Linked DNA regions of Drosophila melanogaster. The gene in region 2 interacts genetically with the main gene of each other region. Each region holds a gene or a part of one and is shown on either strand. Other genes may lie near its edges.

What was found.
Region 1: of Pvf1 (region 2) and Ets21C, changing one suppresses a phenotype caused by changing the other (phenotypic suppression), as found in Drosophila melanogaster (one study listed by BioGRID).

The regions. Positions count from the first base shown.
Region 1 is NT_033779.5:549,313-554,362, forward strand, and holds the start of Ets21C (Ets at 21C), read right to left. Parts: upstream 3,143-5,050; 5' UTR 2,546-3,142; coding exon 1,846-2,545; intron 191-1,845; exon of another isoform or gene 1-190. Other genes in the region: rempA (reduced mechanoreceptor potential A), read right to left, coding at 4,625-4,962, 5,024-5,050.
Region 2 is NC_004354.4:18,830,899-18,835,841, reverse strand, and holds the start of Pvf1 (PDGF- and VEGF-related factor 1), read right to left. Parts: upstream 3,161-4,943; 5' UTR 2,896-3,160; intron 1-2,895. Other genes in the region: CG7101 (uncharacterized protein), read right to left, coding at 4,042-4,619, 4,699-4,943.

The DNA.
Region 1 (5,050 bases), on a different chromosome or scaffold from region 2:
TTGGATTATTTCTTAAAATAATCAATCGCATTTTACACTTTGCAGTTAGAAATTGTAAGCTTGTAAGCAATTTCTTTCTATTTGGTTAGCTATTATAGTTTAGGTTTGCTTTGAATGCTGCGTTGGATTGACCTTTGACCCGATTGGATTGTTCTATGACCATCAATGAAGGTCTATGCCGGGAGCGCGTCAACCGTTTAGGACGAGAGCCATTCGCCGACTGAAACTTTAGCCAGAAGCGCTGGCCGGATTTCGCTCCTTAGCACCGGACGGATGCCTGGCATCTGGCATCTTGGATGGGAGCATGGGCATCCGCGAAGCAGTCGAAGCTCCGGGCACGATTACGGCTCACCTGCGCAGCTGGTGGTAAATGCCGCTTCGGCATTTGCCAGGGAAGTCGCAAAGTCAGAGGCCACGTGCAGCCACTCAACCAGCACCCACCCCTTCGCACACGATAAGCAACTTGTTCTTTTGCAGCGTTTCGACTAATGCATACCCAGTTGCGAGTGGCTGGATATATTATAAGGTGGCAGGGGCGCGTCCGATGGATGATGGAACCAGAAAAGTATTCTGTTTGCGTGGGGAAATATATCCGAGTTTTTGGGAAATCATATGACTAATGGTTTCATTGGTATGTTCCTCAAGGTACGTACTATTGGTGGCTGTGGCATTGTGAACAGGGAATGGCTTTGATCCAGTTTGTACCCTGTAAAGGGGGCGGTGACTCAGACATGGGAGCCACAACCGTAGCCCACAACAAATGTAATCTGCGTGACGGCGACGACGCGTAATCCTGGTTGGCATAAAAAACAAATCAATTAAATCGACGTCGCCTGCTCCCGGGATCAAGGCATGTATGTGTAGTCCATGGAACACCCATCCACCAGCATATGCCAGACCCGAATCAGGGGGCTTTGCCCGCCCTGCACTTGCTCTTCCTGCCACAGGAAGGATGCGACGAATGAATATTTTCCTGTGCCCAAAAGCTGACCACCCGCAGAGCTGTTGTCACGGACAAACCACCCAACCCATCTCAGCTATCCAAGCCATCCAAACCACCCGACCTTCAGCCCACTTTTTCCGCCAAGCTGAAACTTGACTCGGCGACTTTTGTCGCTGGCGTGGGATTATTTTGATTTTATTATTAGATGCCACATCCTGCGAGAAATTATCATATTTACATCGTTTATTATTAAGTTCATCACTTGACGCGACCACCCACAAGGCCCTGACACGCCCCCCCCCCATCCCCCCCCAACGCCCATCGCCTTTGCGTTGGCAGTCATCGCCAGTTAATAACTGGAAAAGTGTTGCATACTTTGCTGCTGTCGCGCAGAGATTTTCCCAACGACTTACGTTAATGGAGTCTCGGAGAAAGTTGGCCAACTCGAGCGAAAGGTAATTAAAAGGGGATTTCCCGCACCTTCGGCCACTTTTCCTCCTTATCAAGACATCCGGAGAAGTGTGGGAGAAACAATCAATGGAGCACATAAGTTACAGCCGTATCAGCACGAAGGCATCTTAATCAGTGGCCATTTGGCCGGCGACGGAGGCAAAAGGATTCAATTGATGCCTGACCACAAAGGATTCGAGAGTCGGACAATCGCTCCGCTGGGAATAGCACGTGAACCCAATTACCAAGCAGTTCAATCTCTGGACTCTGCAGATTTATGTGGCCCGAGATTAGCTTGGGACAGTGAGAAAAATGTGGCTCCGTTTAAGTAGTTTTACTCGATTCTGGAAGGGTTGGCACTTCAGAAATAGGAATTCAAAGACTAAGCCATAAGAGGACATAGGCTAGGATTTGAAATCCCTCTTCAAATAAGCTCTATCTTAGGCACTCACTTGGTTCGTCGTCGTTGAGCATCGGACTCGTCTCCCGTCCGGTGGCGTGGTATAAGCTGATCGCGAAGTGCTGCGCCAGGAGCATGCCTCCGCGCCTTGATCCTGCACAGACCCAGAAGTCCGCGCGAGACAGATCGCACAGCTCCTGGGCATCCTTGGGAAACCTGTCGATATCCGGCTCCGGGTCCAGTTTGAACTTGCGCGTCGCCCATCTCACCCAGCTGGCAATGTCCTCGGGCGTCCAAGCGTGCGGATCCACGGGCACCTCCACGGGAGAGACGCTCCGGTTGGAGTCGCTGGAGTTCCTTCGAGGAGATGGCGCCTGGTGAGGCGATGAAACGGCGGGCGGAGTGGGTGTCGCCAGCGGGAGGGGCACTGGCAAGTTGAGGGCGGGTAATTGGCTTCTTATGCTACTGCTGCTGGTGGAGGACCCGGAATCCGAGTCTGTTGAGGAATATGAGGATGCGCTTGAGTCGCTGGTGGAGCTACTGCTGCAACGCCTTCTGCGTCTTCTTCTGTTGGTGGGAACTTCCGTCTCCTTCGCTTCCAGTTTGGTCTCGTTTCCGGATCCGATGCTTTTTTGCCGGACATCCTGATGCATGGCATTAATCGGCCTCTGTTGGCACCAAGCACTGCGAATCGTCTGGCTGATGATTGGGAGTTGCTTGTGGCTCTGGCGGCTATTCTGTAGAATGGCCATTAAGCTGGGATGTTCCTGCTCCCACTTCGAAAGTGCAATATCAGCTATTAGCTAAAGACTTTTGGTAGCTTTACCGTTTCACTTTTCTTTGACATTATTCGGTTGGCATATAAATTCATCTAATCTATATTTGCTTATTGTTTGATTTTCACTAAGATTTCATTATACCAGCTTGATTTTTGGTAAGTGCACTTAATTACACTTTATTGTTTATGTTTTTGGCGCCCTTTTGCACTACTAGAATATTCACTTCACTTTGGCCCTGTTTAATCATAATATTCTAGGAATCACACTTTCGCATTATTGCGTTTATTGGTAGCCTGCAACCGGTTGAAACGGATTTAGGATGTGTGTTCGTCTGGCTGGATGATTCACCCGAGATAGTCAGGGTATTTCACCTGCTGACCGGACAAGTGGAGTCAGCGGCAGGCTTTCCACGTGCCGCAAATCGCGGAAATCTTTCGCGGAAAGTTTGCGATTGGAAACGTTTAATAACCGTTATTGCATCGACCGATTACAGATCCGCCGATCGGGTTAAGAGTAGCGCCGTATTCCACTCCAGATCGCCGATCTTCGATCGCTCTGGCCCTGATCCGACCCACTTGGCGAGTGACGAACTAATGATCAGCGCCGGCGAACAGTGATAAAGCCATGACGAAGTCGGCTCCCATGAGCTTTCCACTTGGCGCTCTCTCGCCGACTCGGCTGCCCCATGACCAACCGGCTGACTTCGAGGGGCACTGGCTGCTCGGGACCAGTTTGCCGGCGGCGTTTGCCACTCGGCTCGCGAGCTTTCGCTCTCCGCAGTGCCCACTTATCGCTCGCTCGCAAAGCAAATAACAACCTTAAGCATGACGTCGTGAAACTGGCCTAGTCCGTATGAGTCACCCGTCCATTGAGCACAGCGATCGTCGATCGGCGGGAAGCCGACGGAGTTCCCCAGCCTTGTGTGTGGGCCACAGGGGGTGGCTCGGGTGGAAGGTCGTTTGGGGGCCAACGAAAATTCATTCATTCATCGATTCCCCTCCTATTTGGATTTGTTGTCTTGTTGCCTTTGCCGCGTCATTCTTCTGGGAAATCGGGCATGAGTCGTTAGTTGTCTGTGGTCCATGCCATGCCTACTTGGAATATCAGTTTATCTCTGTTCCGATATTTGGCAAAAGGTCGCTCCCAGAATGATATAAGATATATATAGATAGAAGATATAAATATAAATAATAAATAGTTATGTCATAATCGAGTGATACATGGTTTTCTCTACAAGCCTCCTATCCGCAGTTCATCCTTGTGCGCATTTTACTTCGTGACAAGTTCCAGTTAAGGGTCAGTATTTATAAAACTAAACCATTCCATATCCATATATGGTAATTATATTTGGGATCTAAATATCCAATTGCTTGACGTCGGTGACGTTTTCGATTTAGTTTATATCAGTTCGCCAACTGATTGCTCTTTCGATTGTTCCGAGTTTCGCTGGCTTCCTGGAAATGCCTCTGATTTCATACATAGCTGAGGACGCGGACGCTTTTGGGCAAGTGATTCACGGATGGCCGCTCTCTTTTGCTTTCCGACTGGCGCCGGCAGATCCGCCGATCCGAATCCGTATCGCTGTTTATATTTGCTTTGATGTGACGTCGGTCACTTGAACTCACATCCAAGTCATATACCTACATACATATACATATGTATGTTTCAGCACCGAAAGCTTTTACTAGGCTTGCGTACATCGTGAAGTTCATTCATAAAATTCCAAATGGCCCAAGCAAGGGATTTGTATACAATATAAGCAGAAATTTAAGCAGTCTTGTGAAATACAAATACAAGTTATACAAATACGTAACTTGTTCGTTTTGATTGAGAACTTTAAGATGCTTTCCACGATTTCTGTCATTGTATATACTTTCGTTTATGATCATTAATACTTAATATCTTAGCATAACTTAGTATCTGCTGGTTGAAACATTCCATTGTAGCCATTGCTTATCCAATTTAAAGGGAACTCTTTTGCCTATTTACTTGTTATCCGCTCTGCGGAACTGGGACGTGACTAGGTGCTGCATCGCCTATTAATTGAATCATCTAATGCAGCTCCTCGGTGATCTCCTCGTCATCGGCGTCGTCATCATCAGTAGTCGTCATCCCAGAAGTGCTGCTCATTCCAGTGGCGGCCGTACCGCTTGTGGAGGCGGTCACCTGGCGTCCCGCATTCCAGATGAGATCGAACTCCAAGTGGCACTCCTGCGCAATTTTGTGAACGATGCTGCGATCCAAGAGTCCCGAGGCACTCCACGTGCTGTCCTTCACGGTCAGCTCCTTCAAAGCTCTGCCCGCCTCAGAATAGTCCTTGACGTAGACCAGGGCTCGGATTAGCATGGCCAAGATATGGGCGTGGCGTATGGGCGGCAGTTCGGGTTTAACTTAATGTGAAAACAAAAGGTTATTAATGGAAGCTGAGTACACTCTAGGCCAGCGACTTACTCAGCATGCTGCGGCAGGAGCCAATGA
Region 2 (4,943 bases):
TTTGTACACATAACAAAGTGTGGAAAGTTTTTGAAGATGCCGACTAATGGGTTAATGCCCATTATATGTATATACATAATTGATTATATTTCTCTAATACAAAGCTGTGGAATATGCGGACAAAGCGTTTTAAAGTGATCCTGGTTTCGTGCAGTGTATGAGGGCAAGACGAAGAAAAGCAAAGTGAGAAGTGGTGCAAAAAACAACACAGGAAAGGAGATAGCAGAATGGGTAAGAGGGGTGTGGAAAGGGGTGGGGAAGGAGAGCAAGATCGGATGGTGTTAAAAATAGCTTTAAGCTCGCCTTGTAACGGTACTCCTCGGGAGTTTCAATTTGTGTGTATGTTTCTGCACTTGCGTTTTAGGTGCAATGGGTGCACAAGTGTTTATTTGTGGGCTGCAATCAACACACACACACGCACACGGAATTCAGCTATCATTGTTTTCCTTTCTGTTTTCCTTACATTTCTTGGCTCTTTTTAACAGTTAAGCAAATACCGATTGATATGACAGACCAAACGTTGTTATTCTTTTCATCGCTCTCCCTCCCTCTCTCTTTCTCTGTTGCCAGGTGTCACGCACACCTGTGTGATTCATCTTGACATTCCTCTGTGCCGTCTTGTTGTTGTTGCTCTGTTTTTATTTTTTTTTTTGGCGGCTGCTGCACAAGCTTTGTGTGGAGTAACAGCTGTTAGCTTAACAGTTTCGGAATAATTTTCAATTGGAATTAAAAAGATATCAAGTAATTTACTAATCTATCTGCAAAGAATTTCAATAGATCTTACAAACTGAAAACAAGATTCAAAATATAATGCAGATTCTTAAAACCTCTATAGGATGTTCGTTCGACGGGTGGGCCGCTGGTGATTGCACAACCTGTCACATCGAAGGTCTCTTTAACCCGATTCAACGGTTAACTTGTGCGTCTAGTCAGTTATCAGTTATCAGTTGTTGTTGTTTTTGTTGTTGTTGCTACTGAGGCATTTCGTCAGCGCAGATATTACAGATCGACCACAGGGAGACGGATAGATGGGAGTAGTGGTAAGGGGGAAAGGCAGATTACAAAATTAAGCACGTTTTTAAATTATATATATGAATGCGAATATGTACTTATTGCGAAAGCGACAGGCTTTTGTTACTCCTCATACTGATTGCTTTTAGTACCCTGTACTAAAAAAAGGTATGCTAACTTTGGCGAAATCTGATCAGCATTTAGTTTCAAAAAACGCAATCAAGCCACTGTTTACAAGCTTTCTTTAGGAATATTAAACTTATAAGGCTATCATATGCATATATCCATGCCTCAGGTATCATATAGTCGATAGACGATACCCATATGATCTGTATTTAGTTTGCGCAGGTGTCAGCTGTATTTATTCTCACACTTTCGAGGCATTCCTTCCCGGTGCGTCACCCGAAGATATCAAATCATATCAAGTAATCTCAAGGAGGAGAAGGCGAGGAACCAAAAGGAATCATCTCGGAATCGCGATCCCCACTTGGGCGGTCCTTAATTACGCGAAGGGAGTGCCTCCCGCCAGGCAATTGCTCCCCGCACAAGAATTCCAATACAAAAGGAAGACTCAAGCGTTAATGATAAGACCGCGGGCGCGGCGCGGGCGGAGGCGTGGCAGATCAGGGAACAGGCCCATAGCTTGTCTTCCCGTCTGGTCATTCGCTCAGGCAAATCAATTACAATATAGACATGATAATAACTCCACTGCATCCATGGGCCCATGTAGACGGGGGAGCAGTAGAGCAAACAACAAACAAGAAAACACAAAACTTGGACCAACAGGAGGGCAATGGGCAATGGACAATGGGCAGTGGGTTCTACAAGCTCTACAAGATAAATTATGGATTTGCTCCCAAAGGGCTCCCAAAGGGATCGGGTCAACGGCGACGTCTGGAATGCGAGTCTAAGATTAACCGATTTCAACTTTTGGAAGGCGGAAATATGAACAAGTTTTTAAAAAACTAGGGCATATCTAAAATAATTGTTTTCTTTTTTAAGTTTAGTGAAGGTGTCACTTGCTCAAGGTATAGTTTCCTTTCTAGGATATCAAAGTTCTCCAGTTGTTTCATACAATATACGTTATAATTAGAAACGTTTACTATAATATTTTAATATTCATCACATAATATATAATGTGTGACTTTTGTGAGCAAACATTATCATTAAACGTGTTTTCTTTTAATGAAAACCCGCAAATGTGCATTTCAAAATAAATTATTTCTTAAAAATGGCATTTTTGTTCTAAAATGTTATAAATTAAAAAAAAAAAAAAAAAAACAGGAACTTTGAACACATTGCCAGCATTAGTTTATTGAACTTTATTGACGATTTATCCGCAATAACTCGATCATAAACAACTTGATATATTGCAGTTTAAGGCAGCGACTACATTTAAGCCAAGTTCACTTTCATTTGTGATTCACAAATCTTATATTCGCACGCGATTTGACGTAGTTTGATTTGAATAACGATTAAGCCCGGCTTAGACTTTGTTTTTAGGAATTCAAGCGCAACATTTTCACTGGGTTTTCCACACAGCCACTGGAATAACTCAACAGCCAGATCAAAAAACGTTAATTGCAATTGTACTTTTTTGTTTTGTTTGGTTTTTTTTTTTTTTGCATTTGTTAATGATAAAATGGTGTTCTGGTTTTGCTCGAAAGCTATTGGGGAAAAAAAACATATATATAACAAAAGGCTGTGCGCTGTGGAGAGCTTTTTAAAAGGCCCGGCTTTAGTGGGGCAGAAGTGGAAAACCATATAAACAATAACAAAAAGCAGTTTCAGTTTAAATGTTAGATGTAGTCGAGGGTCGCTGGCTTGTTTGTTTACGCTGCTGATTTGTGTTGAAATGTTGAAATTTTGAGAAGCACCACTTACTTTATGGAAACACGGCTTGAAAATTCTAAATATTATGTTTTACACGAAGTTCAATGGCACAAATCGGTTAGCACGAAACGAAAAACAAACAACAAAAAATATGTGTGCACAAATGGGGGGTTTTGTATTTAATAATTTGTGATATATATTTGAGCGCGTTTAAGTTTGTGGTGTTAGCCTCGCGGAGATCGGCGGAGCTGCGATCCAAGCACCAGCAAGTTCCGTTCAAAACTGTCGACTCGTCGGTGTGGGCCAAGTTACTGCGCCCCTATCACCACAGTCGCCAATAACAATAGCAGTAGCAGTAACTGTTGCAGTAACAGTAACAGTACCCAGCTGTCGCAGCATTGCGCTCTCCGCTCTGTACCGCAACACTCACATCCAATCCGAACCGAACCGCTCCGCTCATTACTCTCCCGATCTTGGGGCCTGGAGCGGAGCGGATGGGTTTCACTGTTAACAGTTAACGCTGGGAGAGCGCGATCTCGACTTACGCACACCCTCGCTCAGGAGGCTCGCTGAGATTTTAAATTTAAATATATATAGAGCAACATGAACAATACATATGTTACATTCTATTATCTGTCTATTGGTGGAAATGGAGTATATTATCTGATTAATCAGTGTTGTGGTGATGATAAATATTACTCATAAAGCTGCACTATTTCATCGTTATTTTCAAAGTATTCATTTTAGTGTGACATTTTACATTATGTTAACACTACGCAGCAATAATCTGTAAACTTTCTTTAGGCAATCTTTCATTCTTTCAAACTTTCCTTAGAAAATATTTCAATTGTGCCCGTTTCTATTAACCTGACTTCATGTATTGATATTTTTTTATTCATATAAGTACATTGTCTTTCAGCCATCTGCTTGCTATATTAAAGTAACTATTCGCTTATGTCTATAGTTCCTAAGATGTAAATGTAAATCGTCTCATAAGCATTAATTTTACAGCAAAAAATAAAATACGATTTTAAATTCAAGTTCGTTTGGAAAAACATTTCCGATGACTAGGATATAAATTCAAAATATTAACGCTATTAAAACGTTACATTTATCCATTGCTTAAGTATATATTAATCGTAGTTCTGGACGTGAGATGTCGCTCAGGTATCTACGATTCCGGCTAGGTTGACTGCCCTACGGATGTTCCTCACACACATGCCGTTCGAGATCGATGGCCCGGAAGAAGGGCCGCACGCAGAATTCACAGGTGTAAGTGCCGTGTCCATGGCCGCGATCCGTCTTTATGTGATCGGTGAGGTGGCACCGCTGGGTGAATCTCTTTCCGCACGTGGGACACAGATGCGGTCGGTGGTCCAGGTGCAGACTGTTAACGTGCTTCTTTAGGTGATCAGCAGTGGCGAAGTCCGCCTGGCAAATACCGCACACATGACCGCGCAAGAGGATGTGAACACGTTGCAGATGGGACCGCAGGGCTTCTCGGCTGCCATGGCTCTTGCCACAGTAGCAGCAGTCCAGGGCACTGCGTTCGTGAACCTGCTCCAGGTGCCGCACCAGGCTCAGACTGCCGGGGAATCCGTTGGCGCAGAAGGGACACACGAAAACGCTCGGCTTAGCGTTCACAATGCACGACTCCTTGTCCAGGTCGGTGGGCCAGCCAAAGGTGAGATCGTCGTCCCAGTCGATGCTGGGCAGTATGTTCTCAATGTTCTCCTCTAGCATCTCAAGATCCTCCATTTCATCAACCTGGCTGTCTGCAGGGATCGGATTGAATAGTATTATTAAGCAGGGTATGCCATTAACATCACAACTACTCGTAAGCAGAATACCTACCTGCATCACTGGCCGTGGACTTCAGGGTACGCAGGCGATGCACCTCCTCGGCGTGCTCCTGCAGCTCCAGCATCCCGCTAAAGGTCTTAACGTCGTTGCAGTTGTCCGTGCACATGTCGCAGTAGAACAGCGACTGCTGGCCGTGCCAACTGGCAACATGACGGTAAAGAAACGTGGCTGACGCGTACTTCTTGCCGCACTGCAGGCACAGGAACTGGCCATCGTTGTGCTTTCGCTCCCGATGC